2 linked regions of the Bombyx mori genome follow. The protein of the gene in region 1 interacts with the protein of each later gene in a biochemical or structural test. Links are inferred from orthologs where the notes say so. Each region holds a gene or a part of one and is shown on either strand. Other genes may lie near its edges. The genes, in order: tyrosine-protein phosphatase 10D and uncharacterized protein LOC119628334.

What was found.
Region 2: of the proteins of tyrosine-protein phosphatase 10D (region 1) and uncharacterized protein LOC119628334, one has a biochemical effect on the other in vitro, tested with the Drosophila melanogaster proteins (2 studies listed by BioGRID). The link is inferred for Bombyx mori from reciprocal best matches to the Drosophila melanogaster genes Ptp10D and Gp150.

The regions. Positions count from the first base shown.
Region 1 is NC_085119.1:17,685,786-17,690,221, forward strand, and holds the start of tyrosine-protein phosphatase 10D, read left to right. Parts: upstream 1-1,442; 5' UTR 1,443-1,529; coding exon 1,530-1,775; exon of another isoform or gene 1,776-3,852; intron 3,853-4,436.
Region 2 is NC_085111.1:6,224,010-6,228,569, forward strand, and holds uncharacterized protein LOC119628334, read left to right. Parts: upstream 1-1,628; coding exon 1,629-4,196; 3' UTR 4,197-4,515; downstream 4,516-4,560.

The sequences.
Region 1 (4,436 bases):
ATGGGTGTACCTCAGGGTTCCATTTTGGGTCCTTTTTTATTTCTAATATATATAAACGATTTACCTAGTTTTATTGAGTCCCGACACGAGGTCGTATTATTCGCAGATGATACATCTTTATTATTTAAAATTAAACGACAATTACAAGTCTATGACGAAGTGAATGATGCGATTTCGTGTGTGGTTCATTGGTTCCTTATCAATAACCTATTATTGAATAGTAAGAAAACTAAATGTATTAAATTTACTTTAAAATGTATTAAACCATCTTTAAATGTGAGACAAGTGGATAGTGATGTAATTGTTTCTGAGGAATCATTGGAGCTTGTTGATTCAACCGTATTTCTTGGTATAACAGTGGACTCCAAACTGCAGTGGGGACCTCATATTCATAAATTGGCGAGTAAGCTCAGCTCTGCAGCATACGCAGTAAAAAAAATTAGAATGTTAACAAACGCGGACACGGCTCGTTTAGTTTACTTTAGTTACTTCCACAGTGTCATGTCCTATGGCATTTTGCTATGGGGCAATGCGGCCGATGTAGAAATGATATTTATTCTGCAGAAAAGAGCTATACGCGCTATTTATAACATGCACTCAAGGGAATCCCTGAGGGAGAAATTTAAAGAAATTAAAGTTCTCACTATGCCATTCCAGTACATTTTTGAAAATTTGATGTATGTTTGTAATTATATTGAGGAGTTTCCTAAACAGTCGGACATACATAATAGAAATACTAGGAACAAACACAAGCTTGTTGTGCCGATGAGTAGGTTACATAAGATACGAAATTCATTCGGGTGTTTGTCTGTGCGCCTGTACAACAAAATCCCACAAGATGTTCAGAACCTACATATACATAGGTTTAAGAAAACTATTAAAGAACATCTGTGCAATAAAGCTTACTATAAAGTCAATGATTATCTAGAAGATTGCACAAAGTGGGAATGAGTTGCTCGCTCCAGGCATTTCAATATTGTAGTAATTGTTACGTTATAATACTCAGTGTAAAAAATTCATATTTAAAAAAAAATTAATATTAAAAATAAATAAATAATAATTTTATATGTAAAAAAAAAAGACATGCCCGCTGAGTTTCTTGCCAATTCTTCTCAGGACGGAGGCTAGTTCTTGTGAATTGGCGGTAGTTCTTTTGACGTTCAACAAGTATGTACTTTCATTTATGTTGAATAAAAAAAATATTTTTTGATTTGATTTGATTTGATTATATTTTTATTTAGAATTTAATTTAAAAAAAAGAACGTTAGTCTCTTTAATTAATTGTGGTTTCTTTTTATTATTTTATTGTTTAATCAAGAAGATTCATGCTTTTACATTGTAACACGACAGCAAAAAAAGTATAATAGATTTTGAGTATTTATCGTTCTCTTTTGGTAGAATTTAGTAGATTTTAACCTCCACAAGCAGTAGATTCGTCAAATAAAATCTTGTCACACTGGTACTCTGTGACCAAAACAGAACTTCACAAAAGTTGAAGAAACGAGTCAAACAGGCTGTAATGTTTTAAAATGGTATTGTGCACCTGTGTGTGTGCCACAACAGAGCCAAACGAGTGCAATTATATTATTATCAGAAGTGATGGCACAAATGAACCATGTCCTGCTATAATGAATCAAAATAAGTGTAGTGTTTCGAAGAGAAAGTGTCCTGAAAACGAAGAATTGTCTTCAATGACGTGGAAAAGGTTGAACTTGCAAGCGACTGGAGGATGCGCACGCGCTGCGGCCCTGGCACTGCTTCTAGTTATCCTTGCGGTCAGTACGAGCCTTTTGTACGGATTACTGATTTTCCAAAATGCATTTTGGATGACCTTTTTGAAAATTTAATATTATAGTAAAATGAATTAAACAAACATAAATTCATAACAGTATATTGCATATTTGTCAACACATTTATTATACAAAATTTACATTTAACTAATTTGGTTAACTAAGTATTTCTCATGTGTCATTATGTGTGCATGTTTCACTTATTTATAAATGAAGCTTTATAATACCATTTTACCAAAGATCTTTGCTTAGTTTTCGGTTGTTAATAGTTATATAGCTCACGTCCCACCTGGTGGTGGCTACTGAAATCCATAAACAAAAGTCAATAGTGCTGGCCAAGGATGAAGGCTCAGGTTTCCCATTTCTATTAAATTACCAATAGGACAGCTGACTTAATCTAATTTCATTATAGAAATTCTTTTGTAAAATAAATGTGTTATCCAAAATTAATATAAATTAATTTGTAAATCTGTTCAGAAATTGATAGCTTAAAACATCTTGAAATCTAGTAGTGGGGGCACTTAACAAAAATAAGATACTTTTCCATGTTTATAATGCTGCTTTGGGAATTATAAATGTTTGGAATTAGCTTGTGAACTACATAAAGACTTATTTTTTTAAAAGAGTTTGTTTTTACACATAAAAAGAAACATTTTTAAAAAGGTTTTTTTTTTTCATAATAAATTAGCAATGAATGCATATATTATAAACCAATAATCTGAAGCAAAAGGCAGGCATTCAGAATCAAATGCCAACAAAAATCTGCCTACATGACAATGTAAAGCTGAAATGAATATTCTTTATTTTGTTTTTAAACATTATTTGTAATTGTGCTTCAATACTAAATGTGGAGATCTAAAAGCTGCGTTTCTTTAATCTGTGCTTACAATATAATTCTGAATTTCTAAATTCTTAGTGCCTAAAATCATGGCTAGTGGGGCATGTGGTACATCCAGCATCATCCTGTCTCTTTATGAAGTAAATTAAAATTTTGGGACTAACTATTTTTTTTAACTGTAATTTTTTTTTCGTGAACTTCATTTGTTTTCCTCATACCACAGCACTATGAATTTATAAAATGTGGGGAGTGAGGTGATATCTAGTTTTGAACCTGAACAAGCAATATATTAAATTATATTTTTTGTATTTTAAGTAAAATATAATATATATTTATTGCTTCCCAAGGTGTTTCCCATTATATTTTAAATGCCTTATCGTTTCTTCAAACCAATCATGGGGATCATTGGAGGGGAAAAAAGAACTTGGAAAGAAAAAACTGAAGTCGTCATGGCCTAAAGGATAAGATGTCCAGTGCATTCATATCTAGCGATGCAACAGTGTTCAAATCCTGCAGGCGGGCACCAACTTTTCATTAGAAAAATTACGTACTTAACGAATGTTCACGATTGACTTCCACGGTGAAGGAATAACATCTTGTAATAAAAATGAAACCTGCAAAATTATAATTTGCATAATTACTGGTGGTAGGACCTGTTGTGAGTGCACACGGATAGGTACCACCGCCTTATCTATTTCCGCCATGAAGATGTAATGCGTTTCGGTTTGAAGGGTGGGGCAGCCATTGTAACTATACTGAGACTTTAAAAGTTATATCTCAAGATGGGTGGCGCATTTACGTTGTAGATGTCTATGGGCTCCAGTAAACACTTAACACCAGGTCGGCTGTGAGCTCGTCCATCCATCAAAGCAATAAATATAAAAAAGACAAACCTGTTCATCACACTATGTTTGCCCGACATTGGAATTGAACCCACAACACGCGGCGCAACAGTCAGGGCCAATAGCTACTGCACCACCGAGTTACTCAACGATTGCTTGCACAGATCACATCAGAAGGAATTCACTGAGCCTCTAAAGATGCTTGGACCGTAAAAAAAACCACTACCCGCTTTTCATGTCAAATCGTCATAAGGGTCCCTCCCACTTAATATTTTTTTTCTGGGCTGGTAGCCGATCCTTTACGAGGTCCCCGCACCTAGGGCGTGCGCGCGCTATGTGGGACCGGAGAGTACGCAGATGCTAGGAGAGGACCGTAGTAGAGGTCTGTTCTGTCTGCTCTTTGTTTGAGTGCTGATTATCTATATGTGTATATGTATATCTAAACATATATAAATATGTTTGTCTGTCTCTGGTACCCATAAAACACGGGGGATCCTAAATTGGGGCCGGAAGATCGTGCGTGATTTGTTCTCAGTTATTATTATTATTATTAATAGTTACCTGCATTATTCACCACCTGGCTGGGCTCGGATCTGAACTATAAATTTTTTTATTTTTTTAATTGCCTGAGTTTTAGTCCAGTGAGCCATTTTTCTTCCAATGTATTATTGAAGCCGCGGGGCGAGGCTAGTCTAAAAAAAGTCTCCTCAGTTACTCCTTATATCATCAGCTACCTATCAGTGAAAGTTTCGTCAAAATCGGTACAGCCGTTTCAGAGATTTGCCGGAACAAACAGACAGACAGACAGACAAAAATTGTAAAAAATGTTATTTTGGTGTATGTACCGTATATATTCATAATATGCATGTAGTAAAAAGCGATTATTTCAATATTACAAACAGACACTCCAATTTTATTTATATGTATAGATTTAAACCTGAAGGTACAGTAAGTTAACAAAATAAA
Region 2 (4,560 bases), on another chromosome or scaffold:
TCTAGGCAATAAAAAAAAATGAATATCAATGCCCTTAATCCATCATTATACCAGAGCATGACAGATAAAAATATACAGTAGGCACAATTTTATTTTGTGTCCGTCCGTGACTTCTGTGTATGCTGCACTAAACACAACCACGCAATATAAACCTGAAACAAGCCGTATTACCTTTTGCGCTCTCGGCATATCGGCCGGTAAATATCGGCCCTTCATAGTTCATTCAGTTACCGGCATCCGTGAAGTCGACACGGTCGTGGAGCGCGATCGCATAGTGCCCATTGTCGTAGTGTGAAAGTGCAAAGACTTTCTACAATAAATTATCAACGCAAAGCTATTGTCTAATCCTGTTCAGTGAGTGTGTATTTTGTTTACTGTGTTATTATTTATTGAAGTGTAAAACGACATACGGACTTTGACGATCATAATTACCATGCAAATAAAGAAGGCGTCTGCGCCGATATTGCGAAATAGTTAGAAGGAAAAACCACTGAGTAAGGTCGGATGACAGTAAATATTCATATCAGATAGCGTGGTTTTCATTATAAAGAAAAAAAAAAACGTGGGTTTTTTTAAAATATTTTTTTAGTTAATTGGTTTGTTTGATATTAAACGTTTCATTTAATAATTGATTACGGTTATACTACTGGTGGTAGGACCTCTTGTGAGTCCGCACGGGTAGATACCACCACCCTGCTTATTTCTGCCGTGAAGCAGTAATGCGTTTCGGTTTCAAGGGCGGGGCAGCCGTTGTAACTACATTGAGACTTTAGAACTCATGTCTCAAGGTGGGTGGCTGATTTACGTCGTAGATGTCTATGGGCTCCAGTAACCGCTTAACACCAGGTGGGCTGTGGGCTAGTCCACCCACCTCAGCAATAAAAAAAAAACAAACAATTACCTATGCAACGAATTTACGATGTTCCATAGATATGTAAGCTTTGCTTTTAAATCGATTCCATAATTATATTAATTGTTTTTTTTTCCTATATTCAAAAATATTCCAATACAATTTTAACAAACCAAGAACTCTTGCTATCCGTTTACTGAGGCAGTCAACAAACGGACAGATGGACAATGCTCAGATAAGATTTCACTAGAACAATGCCTGGAACATCTGTTCTCTTTGTCTACATTTTATTGACGAAGATACAATATAGGCAGTGTCATTCATTATACGTGTTGTGGATATTTCCATTTGTAGCGTTGATTTTAAATCGTAATAAATACATACATTCCGTTTTCAAATAATTTGTTTAGATGTTATTTTTTTAAGCTTTCATGCGTTAAACAACTAATTAGTACAGTTCTTATAGCAAAATAAACACTCCAAAAACAAGCCTTTTAAGAACCAACAAATTCGTCAGCCCAGTAGTATTAGTTGAATGATTTCCAAACATACATTAAAGGCCATTAATATAATTGGAAATTTAGAAACCGAAGTCATAATTTTTTTTGGAAGAACATGCCCACTCGATTCTCTTTGGTTGTCGCGTCCAATGATTGATCACAGCACCGCCACTATTCTTGACTGCTGTCAGATAATTTAATAATAGTCAAAGATAAGTATGTATATTTTGTCGGTTGATTAAAATATCCCTTTGTCACGTTTCAGAGTTCGCTACGACATGGGGGCAAGGTCCCGGGAGTTACTACTGCTCCTGGCAGCATGCGCGCTGGTATTCGGCGAATCTATCAATAAAACCGTCAAGAAAGACAAAGACGCCGACAACTTATTGGATCAATATGAGGATTACGAACCCGCGGAATACCAAGAGGTTTTGTACAACGAGGACAGGCCCTGTCCCAGAGACTGCATATGCTCTGTATCTCAGGGATACAGACAAGCCAAGTGCAGCTTCCTCGAAATCGGTACACAAAAGTTCGGCGATGATATCCTTGATCTCGTGGTCGAAAACGCAGATCCCCGCTACCCGATTAATCTAGACGACTTCATGTTCAAAAAACTCGGACTTCACCAGGTTGCTACTGTAAAAATCGTGAACAGCACGATTGGTTATATCGCCCCCAATGCTTTCCATGGTGTCCATGACCTTTACGCAGTCAACCTATCCAACAACAACCTAAAGAGCCTTCATCCTGAGACGTTTGCGAACAATAAGAAGCTGTTACTTCTAACGCTTTCAAACAATCCCCTCAAATTTCCTGCAGCTGGGTCCGAAAATTACTTCTTGAACGCTTCCTCTGTACAAGAGCTTGATGTTTCATACTGTAACATGCAGTACATCACGGCAAATACTTTCAAAAATATGCCTGGTTTGATGTACTTGAATGTTGCCGGTAACAACCTATCCGATATGGATCCAGATACATTCAAAAAATTACTCGATCTCGAAGAGTTAGATCTCCGCAACAATCACATTAAATCGCTCCCCGACGACATTTTCTCGGAAAACACCGAACTAGCAACACTGCATTTACTGAAAAATCCTATTGATACAGTGTATGGCCTCCAAATATCCGATTTGCTTACACTTAATGCGGGACAAACAAACATTAAGTTTGTTGGGCCATCAATGTTCAACGGTATGGGTCTTATTGCTAATCTCAACCTCAGCGGAAATAGTATCGAGAAAATCCATAACCAGGCATTCCACAAATTAGTAGAACTCAATTATTTAGATTTGTCGTATAATAATTTGGATTACATGTCCAGTATTCTTATCAAAGAAAACATCGAACTTGACATCTTCAAAATTTCAAACAACCCACGGCTAAAACATTTACCGGTTGAAGGTTTCACATGCTCATCTGATCAGTTTAATATTTACTTCTTTGGCGCATCTGACTGTGGTCTAGAAGAGATTTACGATAATTCTCTGAAAACATTCTCTGCTCTGTCAATAATTCATCTATCGAATAATAAATTAACTACCATAAACAATACCGTTTTCTCGCACTGCCCTAAATTAATGGAAATCAATCTTGCTTATAATATGCTCACCACTTTAGATCCTAAGCTCTTCGCAAAGAACAATGAACTTGCAAAGCTTAATTTACAAGGTAACCCTCTTAAAGTACTTTCTGCGGAAATTTTTGTCCACACTCCGGCCATGATTTGGCTAGACATGAGTCACGCTGAATTAACCTCTTTGTGGAAAGTAGATAAAAATCACCCACTGACAGTTCTTATCAATTTACTATTCTTGAATGTATCCCACAATAGAATTACGGAAATTAAACAAAACGAATTAGATAATTTGAACAAACTACGTACTTTAGACATTACCAACAATCCGTTGGCCTGCAGCCGAGACTTTGAAAACCTCATGACATGGCTGAACAACCACACAGTGTTGCCTACTGGTAACTCTGCCAACGTCGCCAATATGGCTAGAGATGGAAAAGATGATGATGCCACTTACAGCTGGGATTTCCTGACTATCAAGACTTGTGGAACTACAGTTATTTCCCATCCTGTTGAACCATTATCGGCTGTATCTGACGAAGAAATTTGGGAAAGAATCGACAAGGACACTGAGGGTAATTTCGATTTGAAGAACACCTTAGATGACGGTAAAATTCCTGATGATACCAACGCTTCTGCTGACAGCAAACTAATAATTGATAGCACTGATGAAGAATCAGATGACGTTGATCCCGATGATGATGAAGACGAGGGCGACGATGATGACGACGAAGACGACTCTGGCGAAGATTACGAGAATGATGACATAGATCTTAAATATGAGCTCATCAACAAAACGGACTCGAAATCTGAGAATACAAAGAAATCTGAACAACAGGCCACAGAGAAAGTTAAGATTGACATCAAGCTCTTAGACTTATACGAAAATTCTGAGCCAGACGTCTATGTACGAACATCGACCGAGGAAGAACACGGCCATTACAGCTACTTGTGGCCAATATCCATTGCCATCCTCGGAGCGCTTTTGTTGCTAATCGTTATCGCTAAGGTCGTCATGATGACGTGTAAATCAAGAACCAGGCAGCTCAGATACAACAGTGCCATTATTGCAGCGATGAGTCAACCCGGCCGCACCAAAAAGGACTGCGGCTTGGTATACCAGCAGTTGTCCGAAGACCTCACAGGTCCGGCCACTCCAAAACTAAGCCGATATGCTCCACTTCACAGCGTCACTGTCAATGCATCCAACATGTCCTATGAGAGCAGTCCCTTCCACCACAACAACATCGTGCCAGAAGCAGTGTGAGCCACACGTACAAAATTTAATTTTTAAGAGTTATATCATGAAACTAACAACTGAGCTAACTCTTTTTCAAGCAACAAGTGATAGAATATACGCGCTAGTCACACAATAAATATTTGACACATTTCATATTAGTGCCTTTATGTGTACACTCGAGTAACAATTCGACCAAATTATCTAGCGCTTTTTTTTTGAATTATCAAGTAACAAATCGAAGTCAAATTACTAATTAATTTAAGATTATACATATTATTATATATTATACAAATTAGTTGATAGGTTTATTTTATGTACTTAAAAATATTAAAATTAAATACTAAAATGTGGTTTTTGTTTCATCTACCCAAAAAAAACCAGATTATATCCA